Daphnia pulex: one gene and its partners. The protein of the gene in region 2 purifies or fractionates together with the protein of the main gene of each other region. This does not show direct contact. Links are inferred from orthologs where the notes say so. Each region holds a gene or a part of one and is shown on either strand. Other genes may lie near its edges.

Evidence for each region.
Region 1: the proteins of nuclear factor NF-kappa-B p100 subunit-like (region 2) and coatomer subunit beta'-like purify together in Homo sapiens (affinity purification with mass spectrometry; 5 studies listed by BioGRID and IntAct, with this or other methods). This does not show direct contact. The link is inferred for Daphnia pulex from reciprocal best matches to the Homo sapiens genes NFKB1 and COPB2.
Region 3: the proteins of nuclear factor NF-kappa-B p100 subunit-like (region 2) and 40S ribosomal protein S3-A-like purify together in Homo sapiens (affinity purification with western blotting; 3 studies listed by BioGRID and IntAct, with this or other methods). This does not show direct contact. The link is inferred for Daphnia pulex from reciprocal best matches to the Homo sapiens genes NFKB1 and RPS3.

The regions. Positions count from the first base shown.
Region 1 is NC_060017.1:7,292,234-7,296,550, forward strand, and holds the start of coatomer subunit beta'-like, read left to right. Parts: upstream 1-1,404; 5' UTR 1,405-1,569; coding exon 1,570-1,572; intron 1,573-1,643; coding exon 1,644-1,802; intron 1,803-1,864; coding exon 1,865-1,942; intron 1,943-2,010; coding exon 2,011-2,125; intron 2,126-2,186; coding exon 2,187-2,335; intron 2,336-2,404; coding exon 2,405-2,661; intron 2,662-2,723; coding exon 2,724-3,056; intron 3,057-3,119; coding exon 3,120-3,319; intron 3,320-3,386; coding exon 3,387-3,628; intron 3,629-3,689; coding exon 3,690-3,832; intron 3,833-3,908; coding exon 3,909-4,317. Other genes in the region: uncharacterized protein LOC124197376, read right to left, coding at 1-17, 80-299, 378-452. UniProt on the Homo sapiens protein: The coatomer is a cytosolic protein complex that binds to dilysine motifs and reversibly associates with Golgi non-clathrin-coated vesicles, which further mediate biosynthetic protein transport from the ER, via the Golgi up to the trans Golgi network.
Region 2 is NC_060019.1:3,340,581-3,344,942, forward strand, and holds the start of nuclear factor NF-kappa-B p100 subunit-like, read right to left. Parts: upstream 2,908-4,362; 5' UTR 2,696-2,907; intron 2,599-2,695; exon of another isoform or gene 2,571-2,598; 5' UTR 2,570-2,570; coding exon 2,440-2,569; intron 2,372-2,439; coding exon 2,196-2,371; intron 1,765-2,195; coding exon 1,586-1,764; intron 1,514-1,585; coding exon 1,399-1,513; intron 1,305-1,398; coding exon 1,166-1,304; intron 206-1,165; coding exon 101-205; intron 34-100; coding exon 1-33.
Region 3 is NC_060025.1:408,458-411,872, reverse strand, and holds 40S ribosomal protein S3-A-like, read right to left. Parts: upstream 1,849-3,415; 5' UTR 1,736-1,848; coding exon 1,703-1,735; intron 1,499-1,702; coding exon 1,415-1,498; intron 1,355-1,414; coding exon 1,119-1,354; intron 1,055-1,118; coding exon 867-1,054; intron 805-866; coding exon 617-804; 3' UTR 525-616; downstream 1-524. Other genes in the region: general transcription factor IIF subunit 2-like, read right to left, coding at 3,104-3,220, 3,280-3,415. UniProt on the Homo sapiens protein: Component of the small ribosomal subunit. The ribosome is a large ribonucleoprotein complex responsible for the synthesis of proteins in the cell. Has endonuclease activity and plays a role in repair of damaged DNA.

The DNA of each region.
Region 1 (4,317 bases), on a different chromosome or scaffold from region 2:
TTTTAAGTTTTCTTGTTCTGTGAATAATAATATGGCACAATATTAAATTTTGTTTTGTACTCTTAAAATGTTATCTTACCTTGGTTTTCATTCAATGAAGTAGCCACTTCATTAGAATATGTTTCTGATGACTCACTAGACTGTTCTTCAAAGTGCTGTATCACTTTTTTAACCGAGCCTTTCGAAGCCCCAGCAGACTCTTTATTCTCTTCAGCTGCTAGTTCCAGCACAGTATTAATCCTTGTCGAACTATTATCCAAATAAGATCGAAAATCCACGTCTTTTTTGTCTTCTTGGTACTAGAGTAGTATGTATAAATCGCAAGAGTTAGAATCAGGTCTGCATAGCTCTTTGAAGAGAATTTGACATTAAAATACCTTAGTGAAGAAGGAACTCCAAAAATTATCTCTTTCTTGTAAAATTCCTTCCCAGCATTTTTTCAATCTGTCCATCGTGTTGGATTGTCATTTCATAGTTTCGAAATTATTGATCCATTATTTCAACAAGTAGGCCACTCTCTTAACACCAACAAGAACATAGCATCCGACGCTTTCGAGTTTTGAATTCACCTTTGCAACTTAATTTCGTCTGCTATAACTTTTGCAACAGTGTTTATCTGACAATTAGGTGATGATTGAAAATTTGAAACATATTATTCCAGAATATATGGATGAAGGAAAAATGTGGTGTATTATTCACAATTGTATCATCAAAATTAAAAATAAGAATCAAAAGACCCCAAGTAATTCCCTGAGGATTGCTTGTTTCAGGCAATCAAGAAAAATGAATTGCAAAAATTTTCAGCAGTTAATTCATTATCTTGATCCAATCTTTAAAACTGGATTTTTTTTGTATGACATGTAATCATCATATTTGAAGAATGAAATTTCAGTTTCATGTCTTACATCACTCTCCTTGAGTGTCCTTTCCGCTTTAAGGATGAGACCTTCATCATTCTCGTGGTTAATGACAGGATCATTTGTTTTAGCTCCATGTGCATGGTGCTCAATCTGTAGAAAACCATAGAAAAAACAACAAATACATAAAAATAGCAGTAAGATGTTATTCAAATAACCTTCAAAGTGTCATATTCGTATTTTCGAAAAGGTGGTGGCAGTCCCGGAGCAACACCCAACTCTTGAATTATTCTAGTTTTCAACTCTTCAGTTGTAAGGGAAAGTGGTACATTCTTTAAAACCACATTGCGAATGTTTCGATATTCAAACGACCGGATGACTCGAATAATGATCGTGGCTGTCTCCATTGATAAATTGTGCGGGGCAGTTTGTTTTGAACTGATGTGATGTTGCCACTGTCGAAATAGTTTAACAAATTTTGAATTATTACAGGGTACGCTTAAAATGTATAGAATAAATAGCTCATAATAGTTTTGAAAATTACACTCCCGACGAGGTCACACAATATTAGTAAAAGCTGATAGAAAAGAAGCAATTTAGTATTTTGGCTAATGATTCTATCTGGCAATGTTTATTTGTGCTCCACTCCTCCCCCAGTGATGACAGATCAACCGGCCACGTAGTAGAACTATTCAACAATCCTCACAACAAAATGGTTTAACATTAATACTACTTGTTTAAATCATAACAATTATTGAGCTAATTTCATGTTATAATTTTTTATAGCCGCTGAAACTAGATATCAAGAGAAGGCTTACCGCCCGTTCGGATCGCGTGAAAAGTGTCGACTTGCATCCAACAGAGCCATGGATGTTGGCCTCCTTGTATAATGGAAATGTGCATATTTGGAACCATGAATCACAACAAATCATCAAATCTTTTGAGGTAAAATGAGTACTTCATTGAATTCTTCCTTAATGACTTGACCATTACTTGCCCTTTTGTAGGTTTGTGACCTGCCTGTTCGTGCTGTCAAGTTTGTCCCAAGGAAAAACTGGGTTGTTAGTGGTTCTGATGATATGCAGGTATAGTTTTCTTGATGTCTTATCCATTTCAGATTAGATATAGTTTAATCCTCTTTAAATTGTTCCAGGTCAGAGTGTTCAACTACAACACACTTGATCGTGTGACAGCATTTGAAGCTCATTCAGACTATGTTCGTTGCATTGCTGTGCACCCCACTCAACCCTTTCTATTAACTAGCAGTGGTATGTAAATAATCTGTTTTTCTAACAGATTCAGTGTTCATACAGTCTTTCTTCATTTTAGATGATATGTCAATTAAGTTGTGGAATTGGGAAAAGAACTGGGCATGCCAACAAGTCTTTGAGGGTCACACCCATTATGTTATGCAGATTGTCATCAATCCAAAAGATAACAATACATTTGCTACTGCATCTCTTGATAGAACAGTCAAGGTATGTTTTTACGAAAATATTTTGCCAGAAATTTAACTTAAAATCAATTTATTACGGTCCCTCATTCAGGTCTGGCAGTTGGGCTCGAACACACCGAATTTCACTCTTGAAGGCCACGAGAAAGGAGTAAATTGCGTCGACTATTACCACGCCGGCGACAAACCTTACTTAATTTCAGGTGCAGATGATCGGCTTGTTAAAATTTGGGATTACCAGAATAAAACCTGCGTCCAAACTTTGGAAGGGCATGCACAGAATATTTCTTCTGTTGCCTTCCACCCCGAACTTCCAATTCTGCTTACTGGATCTGAAGATGGAACAGTCAGGTAAATTTATTATTCTCTTTATTTATTTTTTAGTCAAGTATACTATTTTCTCTAAATCGTAGAGTATGGCATTCAAATACCTACCGGTTGGAGACTACTCTCAATTATGGGCTGGAGCGTGTCTGGACCATTTGTTGTTTGCCTGGGTCTAATAACATCGCTTTGGGCTACGATGAAGGATCTATCATGATTAAATTGGGCCGAGAGGAACCTGCAATGTCCATGGATCAAAGCGGTAAAATTATCTGGGCCAAACATTCAGAGATCCAGCAGGCCAATCTCAAAGCGCTGCCGGACTCGGAGATCAAGGATGGAGAACGTCTTCCTCTTGCCATCAAGGATATGGGTGCATGCGAGATTTACCCTCAAACTGTCGCTCACAATCCAAACGGAAGGTATGTTTGCTAACTGCTCATGGCATAGAAACCAGTAAATAATAAAATTCCGTTTCATAATAGATTCGTCGTTGTTTGTGGTGACGGCGAGTACATCATCTATACAGCTATGGCTCTGCGAAACAAAGCTTTCGGTTCAGCTTTGGAGTTTGTGTGGGCAGTGGACTCATCCGAGTATGCTGTTCGTGAAAGTGCCACGTCGGTCAAAGTTTTTAAGAACTTCAAGGAAAAGAAACAATTCAAACCAGAGCTGGGAGCCGAAGGTATATTGTGCATAGTAATTGAAAACAGAATGAAATATTGATTCTAATTAAAATTTTACATTCACAGGAATCTTTGGTGGAGCAATGCTTGGGGTCCGGTCTACCAACAGCTTAGCTTTTTACGAATGGGACAATCTGACACTGATTCGTCGGATTGAGATCCAGCCACGTGGTGTGTATTGGTCGGAAAATGGTGAATTAGTTTGCATTTCTACCGAAGACAGCTATTTTGTTTTGCGTTATGATGCTGATGCCGTGGCCAAAAGCCTTGAAACCAAAGAAGGCTTGACCGACGATGCCGGAATTGAGGTGATTTTATTTAAAGACAAAGTGTTAGTACATTTTTAAAAAATATTTTCTGAATGTTTAGACGGCGTTCGAAATGTTATCTGAAGTGCAAGAAAGTGTTAAGACGGGACTTTGGGTGGGCGATTGCTTTATCTACACCAACAGTGCCAACCGATTAAATTATTACGTCGGTGGGGAAATTGTCACAGTGGCCCATCTCGACAGGTATGGCTTGAAAGTTCACCATTCTTGCAATAATCAAACCGATACTATTAAACCCATGTGTAACTTTTGTTTCCAGAGTGATGTACTTGTTGGGCTACATTCCCAAGGACAACAGTCTTTACTTGGGCGACAAGGAGCTAAATGTAGTTTCCTACGGCCTGCAACTCTCGGTGCTTGAATATCAAACCGCAGTTATGCGACGAGACTTCGAAACAGCTGACCGAGTGCTCCCGTCGGTTCCCAAAGAGCAACGCACTCGAGTGGCTCATTTTCTTGAGAAGCAGGGATTCAAAGAACAGGCATTGGCAGTCTCCGCTGATCCTGAGCATCGCTTCGAACTGTCACTTCAGCTTGGTCAATTGCAACTGGCCTACCAACTAGCCTGCGAGGCTCAGAGTGAGCACAAGTGGAAACAACTTGCTGATCTGGCCACAACCAAATGTCAGTTTGAGTTGGCTCAAGAGTGTCTTCACAAGGCACAGGAT
Region 2 (4,362 bases):
CATCTGTCTCGAAGAAACGAATTTTGATGTCCTCTGTAATAAAATTTTGAATTGGATGTTAGATGGAAAATGTTGCATGAAATTAATCTAATTATTTTACTTTTATTGACTTTCTCCACGAAGATGAAAATCTCTTCCTGTCCCGTACAACAACTATAGACCTTATCTATTCGGACGATGCGTAAGTCTCCAGCATGAGTGCTTTCTAGATTTTGAAAAACACGGTAAGATTAGGTTAGAACAGTATTGCTGCGTTAGTAAAATTCCACTTCGTTTAGAAAGACTGAACATCCACTTCATGTTTAGGACTTCCAATCAAATCTCGTATAAATCGAAATTCGAATTCGAGTTTTTCGAAACTTAAGATGAAGTCTAACTTAAATTGACAAAATCCAAATTCGCGGGTCAATTGAATTAATAGAAAATTTGAAGGTGAATATTCATTGAAGTTATTGCGGATATTTTTTTATGTGTACATTAATGCTGATTTCCGTAATTTTTTTAAATAAAATCATATGTAAAAGTATCAAAATGTGTGTCATTCAAAATACTTTATAATCGTTTAAAGAAGCACAGACAGGATAACAATTTTATGGAAACCTTTTAAATTTCGATTTTTGTGCTTTTATTCTTTAAATGATTAAAAAGTAATTTATTTTGTCTGTACTAACCATACAAATGTTTTGTGGATAAAGATCTTAACATAAATTGATTCGAATCGATTTAAATTAATTTTTTTTTACTTGAATCAAATCAATGTGATTTTTTTACAAAAATTCTCAATCCGAAATGAGGTTTCACATGTAAATTGATTTGAGTGGATTCCTACGTTTAACTATTTAAAAATGACTTTGCTACTTGGATTTCGAAGGCGTCATTTTTTACGCTTCTGAAAGTGGAGAGAAATAATCGAAACAATAAAAAAAAGAGAGGTCACCGTTAATTAATAGAAAATGGAATAAAAATGAATAACGCTCAAACTCCTCGGTTATTGTTGTTTTTCCATTAATATACTTAGCTAGTATTAAAAACTACAGTACGTGCATAAAAAAATACGAAATTTAGGACGACGAATTAGATTTTCCGTTTTCCTTTCACGCTTCTTTAACGCGGTAGTTTTAATTAGCAACATTTTCCACTACTATAGATATCTTTTAAAACTTACTTAAATTGTGAATAGCTTGGGAATATTGAGGTGGGCAGATCTGTTCACGAAAACCGTTTTGTTCCACAAAGGCCTCAAACTTTAGTTTAACCGAATGAAGATCCATTGTATTGGCTATCTTGTCTGCTTCGTCCTTCAACTATAATGACCGGGGATGAATGTTAAATAACTTTACTAATGCAACAACAAATAAGACTACTTAAAATAGAATATAATCATTGAAAACTCCATACCTGTTGCCCTTGGTTACGATTCATGGGTGCATTCCCCAGTTCATTTATCAAACGCCTTTCAACCACCTCACGGACTTGTTTTTTCGCTGTGTGTATAATTGTTAAACCGGAGAAACTTTAAAACAAAATATTTAAAAAAATTTATTATTACTATTATTAACAATTTTATTGAGTAGCCTATACATACGTTGCAGTCCATTCGTTTTTACCAGCGGAGACTATCATTTCTTGGTATTCTCCTTCGTTCCCATTGTTCCCATTGGAGTTTCCTTCCCCTCCAAGACGATGGACATGTGGAACAGGTTTTGAACTGTTTGTAACTAATGTACAACGAATAATAGCTTCTCGATCTTGACAGCCTTCCAACTAAAGACAGTCATTTAGTAATACTGGCATTAATATTAATTCTAAATAATTGTGAATAATTGGCAAAATGAAAATATACCAATACAAAACTGACTAATTCTAACACAACTAATATGTGTGACAGAAATAAGTGTCAACTGAAAAAGTTGAAATACAGTTCTATAGGTGGAATTATCGTACACTGTTTTACAACGGCATAACATTAAACGCAATAGCAGGAATCGCTTGGCGTTAACCCCTACCTCTCTTTTTAAATTAAGGTATTCTGACTTCTGAGTTATAAAGTGGAGATTAAAGATCAACAGTTTTGAATGATAATTCAACCCATATATAATTTACTACAACCTAGTAATTATAATTAAATACTTAAGATTCCAGATTTGAAATTATGGATGAGTTGGTAAATATTTACATTAGCAAGTGAAACATACTTGAACACGAATATATTCTTTTTTGTTCCGTTCCTTGCTTTCTGCCATAAGACATCCATGTGTTCCAGTCATTTCAGAGGCATAACGAAAACGAAACTTCCCTTGTGGTTGATTAAGTATAGATAAACATGGGGATAGCCTGCCTGGTCTGATAGGAATTGAACTGGGAGAATTTCCTGTAATAAAATGAATCCATATTTTACACAATTTTAACATAAATTCATTCTAAAAAACTGCTGATTACCCATGTAGGCACTGTTTGGTGAGGCACACATCATAGGAGAGTTTCCACTGGAGAAGCTGTGGCTTATCGGAGAACTTGAGGAATGTGATGATTCAGGTGAGTAAGGACTACTACCAATTGGTTGATGCATTCTTCATAATTTTAATTTTAATAATCATACTTATTAAATAACATTTGATTATATGTTAAAGAGATATAAATGATATAATGTATATCAACAGTCAACACAGTTCATAAGATACACAACGGAACTAACCTTGAATACACGAAAGAATTCTCGTATTAATTCAACGCAAACGAATTAGCTAAAAATCATTTCGATTTGCGTGTTATATTCAACAAAGACCGTTCAAACTGGAGCCTTTCACAAAGTTACAAAGTTTTATAAGTAAATTTAGCACTGCTCGCGCAATCTTTAGCCTGAAGCTTCATTGATATGACAGAAGGGGAAAACCCATGTGTATAAACAAAACTTTCGATTATATTCCATAGTCGGAGTTGTAAAACCTAAGACCTCTGTCGGCGTAAAATTGAAACACAAACAATTATAAATTGTAAAAAGTTAAAAACCTTTAAAGTAAAAAATTAATTTCTCAGCTAATTTATATTTAATATTTTTTTAAACTTTCATATGAAGCCGTAGTTTTTCTTTGGATAAATAAAAATGTGAATTTGACAACACAAAAAAAAATCTGCCGCAGCGGACAGCGCCATAACTCTCCGCTTCTTAAATGTACATTCTAATTCCATACGCTATGTTTTCGAAAACTGGTGGGTTTTTCCCCTTTATTTGTGGATACATTGCCTCATGTTGCACTCGAGAGACGTCCACTTTCCCAGTCCATAAATGTGTAATAAACAAACTTTCGGTGGTATGCACATGTTACGTTTCATATCTCGACTTTGATTCCAACACCAAAGATTAGCATGGCAAGTCGCTGGTGCATTCATTAAATCAAATGTTATCGAATATTATATGCAAACAGCAATGACGTGCGCAAATTTTGCAATATTTAAAATAATATAGTATGGTATTTAGAATATTCCATGCACAATACCGTTGAAAACGTTCATTTTTAAAATAGGCTACAATTACTTTTATAACAAAATTTATTTACAGGTGTTTATAATCAGACCCCTCGTTCGCTTTCGAGTTTCCAACTTGGTCTGGGTCTGACCTCTTTTGAATTTTTTTAACTCGTTTGTTTTTAATAAATTAAATTAAATAGTTTTAGATTCTTGCTAGGGAATTAAGAATTTATGGTCAGTACACTTCTAAGGCTTATCATCAAAATGACCGCCATAATCTTGTCGGGGATAGCATGTAAGAAGGGTAAACAACTAAAGAATAATTTTAATATAAAATAGACTAGATTGTATTTGGGCTTGAAGTAAAAATTAAAAGATGACCAATTGAGTAACACATCTAACGGTACAGGCAATAAGTGGGAAATACTTAAATATAGGTACAAAAATATTAAAAAATTGCGAATAACATTGCACCGTGCGACTTGCGTAGCAAGGTTCCCTCCGGGCTTTTGGTGCAAGAAACGGAATGCAGATCCCTTGCTTCGCACGCGAAGTATAGAAAGAAGTACAATTGAAAATAATATATTTACTTCCCACAGAGAAGCAGTAACGGGCGTGCAGCACAAAGATTTCAGATTTTCAGGTACTTAAATCACAGATAAAGACACCATAAGTCTTCTTTATCTATGCTTAAATTAGAGCTATAGACTCCTAAAATCTTTGTGCTGCACGCCCGTTACTGCTTCTCTGTGGGAAGTAAATATATTATTTTCAATACTTCTATGAGAAAATGTCTTTGCAAACGAGAGAGGGAGGCGGAAGTTCCATGCCAAAATAACGATGGGCCAGAACAACGATATCGCTATCTCTCCAATCAAATTCCCGTCACTTAAT
Region 3 (3,415 bases), on a different chromosome or scaffold from region 2:
CCCATTGTATCAAGTAATGTCTAGCTTTCATCCTGAATCACCAAGAAAATGCTTAAATGTCAATGCTCACGTAAGCTCTTAAATACACTAGATTAAGAAAATTAAAGAAAAGTTCTTACCTTTCCAGTAACACGAGTAACCACAACATCGACAATATCGGTAACATTTCACTTTAACTTTTCTTCATGAGATGGATAACGATAAAACAATTATAAATTAACAAACTGCAGCAGCTCTGCATTGAACCGTATTTTGAAGTTCACTGTCGGCATGTAGTGCACAATTATTCTACGAGAACTATTTTCAGCAACCGACACGTTCAATTGCAGAACCACTTACTGAAATAAGTCTCACGCCGACAGCGGTAGTTGGAAAACCTTGTTTTTCACGCAGACCTTACTCTAATTTACTAAGATTTTTTACACATCAATTCTTGGACTTGCTTCATTACCTAAATTAATTGGTAAGTTTAATTTGAGCGTAAAAAGAAAAGTAGGGTGTAGGATAATAAATAAAACACAACCTTGACCAGGCAAAGCATGTATTTAACTCTCGTTTCATATTGGAAACTACGGTAGTTAATCGACACCAGCCCAGTAAATAGACGAAACACTCCTTAGGCAGCAGCTTGGGTGGGAGGTGCTGCTGCGATGTCGGACATCTTGGCTGCTTTAAGTTCCTCTGCGATGTGTGTCTCATCTTTAGGTTCCAGGATGGAAACATTGTCTGGCAAAGGTCTCTTGGGTCCGTTCTTGTTGTTGGGATCCCACGGCAACATGATCTTAACCTTAATACCAAGTACTCCTACAATAACAAAGATGATTAGAAAGATTCCTCCCAAGTCAATATAATGCACAATAAATTACCCTGGCGAAGCAAGACGTGTCTGACGGCAGTGTCGACGTAGACGTTGGTGGGTTCTCCACTGTGGATCATCAGACCATCGACGAACTTCATGCTCTTGGCTCGCTGACCTCGAAGTTTGCCAGATACAACAACTTCACAACCCTTAGCTCCAGACTCCATGATGAAACGGAGAACACCATAACAAGCTCTGTGTAACAACACATTACATCAGAAATGCACTATTTAAACGTCAGCCTATTGAATTAGCTTACCTGCGAACAGCCAAACCACCAATGAGTTTGTAGCGCAGGGACTCAGCTTGGGCAATAGCACACAAGCCACGAGTAGCAACCTTCTCAGCATAGAGCTCAACAGTTCCCTCTTGGAAGCCAAATCTCTTTTGGACAACAGATGTCAACTCGCGAATGCGACGGCCTTTCTCACCCAAAACATTCTGGGTACGTGTAGCCAGAATGATGATTTCTGTGCGAGTGGGGGCAAGGCGCACCTAATAGGAAAATGGGTTTTAGATATCTACACAGTAACAAAATAATTTCACAAGAATTACCTCAACTCCAGAATAACCATCTTCGGCCAATTCACGGGTCAAGAAGGCGTTCAATTCAGCCTTGAAGACACCTCCCGCCACAAACTGTAATACAAAATTATAAGAAAATTAGGTAAACTCAAGCACACTGACAATAGAAACATGTCAAGCCAAGACGAATTTTATCCTCCAAAATCTTTCACATCCTGGTTAGAAACTGTTCTATTTCATCAATAACACCTCAATATTCAAACGGTGAATATGTGAGAACAAGATGAAAAAGATTCACGTGTTGAAAGAATTACTTGCCTTTCGTTTTTTCGAGATCTGAGCCGTAGCCATTTCACGTATTTTAAGACCGGTCTACGAGAGGAAGAAGGAATACACAGTACTTTTTCTGTAGACGAAGTTGACAAGCCCAGCATTGCCTCCTTCTCAACCCCCTCTTTCGGAATTCATCTTCCCACATAATTTATTTCAGTTTGCTTTTTAAAATTTTTTCAACTATCATTATAGAAATAATAAATTATAAACAAGTTTAATTGGTTCATATTTGTTTAAAAGATTTCAAAAGTTTTATTGTAGATTTTCCATCTGTCAACTCCGACAGGAAGTCCGAAATTCAACAGCGTTGGACGAAATCAAATGTTATAAGTAGGACTGTAAAACGCCATTTGAAGCATGTGAAGCTCCCCCATCTGGTTTGATTGCTGCTAGCCAGTTTTGTATTCGTTTCGGTAAATATCTTATTTAATTCATGCAACTAAGACTGAATTTTGCATTCCTTTGAACCACACTAGCTCTACTTAGCTTATAGTGGCCAAGCGGACATGCTAAATTAAAATTTATTCTGATCTACCGTTGTCTCCTTATTTGGAACACATGGATTGAACCGAATTAAAACATTTGATAGTAGTAACATAAAGTAATTGATGTTGAAGGCACTGAGGCACACTGTGGATAATTTGTTGAAGTGTGCTTTAAATGGTTTTCTATGATGTTGAAATGCTAATTCTTATTCTGTTGTTGTACAGGAACCCTCACATCGCTACCTGAAGTTGCAGATTTCCTGGTGAAATAATTCTGTTTGGTGTATTTTATAGTATCTATATTGACAAATAAACAATTTTTAAAATTACATTCTGGCAAATTGTAACTAGTGAAAATTAAAACAAATTAATTTGTAGATAACTATATTCAGCGTTAAATTGTTGGTTGAATCATGGTTGGATGATGAATCTCATCAAGAGACAGGCTGTTGCTATTCTAATAGATTATGGCTTTTGACTGAGATAATATAATGTTAACTGTAAGTAGGGTACCATGAAAAGCTGTAAATATTAACATGTAACCTTTTACTTGATTCTTGTTTTTACAATCTTACGATTCTGTTTAAAAGGGGTTCCTCGTTAGCACATAAGCCTACTTTTCGCACTGAACTCGCTCATGAAATCATTTCTTCCTGATATGGTTGGGATAAATTATATTGGTAAAATTTTCAAGTTCGCATCGATGTATTGGACCACACACTTGTTAGCACGGGAATTTTTAGACGAAGGGAAAATTGTAGCCTAAGAGAACATTTTATCGAACAATTTCAAGGGCAGTTGAAACCCATTTGAGTTATCTGAAGTTATGTGCATCCAAGAGCTGTTTAGTAGTTTTCTGAAAATCACAGCTTTATTAGAAAGTTAATGGACTGTTTACTTATTAGTCCTTGTCTTCATCTTTGTAGTGGCGGTATTCCGGTTTCAGTTCCCACATGTTTTTGTGAGGATTCTTCAAATTGTATACACAAACATCCTTCAAAATTTCCTTGAGGTAGGTCTATAAAAGCAGAGGGTTTTAAAAGTGCAAATGCTTGTATGAAAACAACTTTTTCTTACCACAGGTTGGTTGGTGAGTTTTACCAAGTCCTTGATGTTGTAGTACTGATGCTTTTCAAAAGCTGCAAACAGCATGTCCATAACTTTGCCCTTATCATCTCTGGCTTTCTTACCCTCAGCTTTCTTCTTTTCGTCG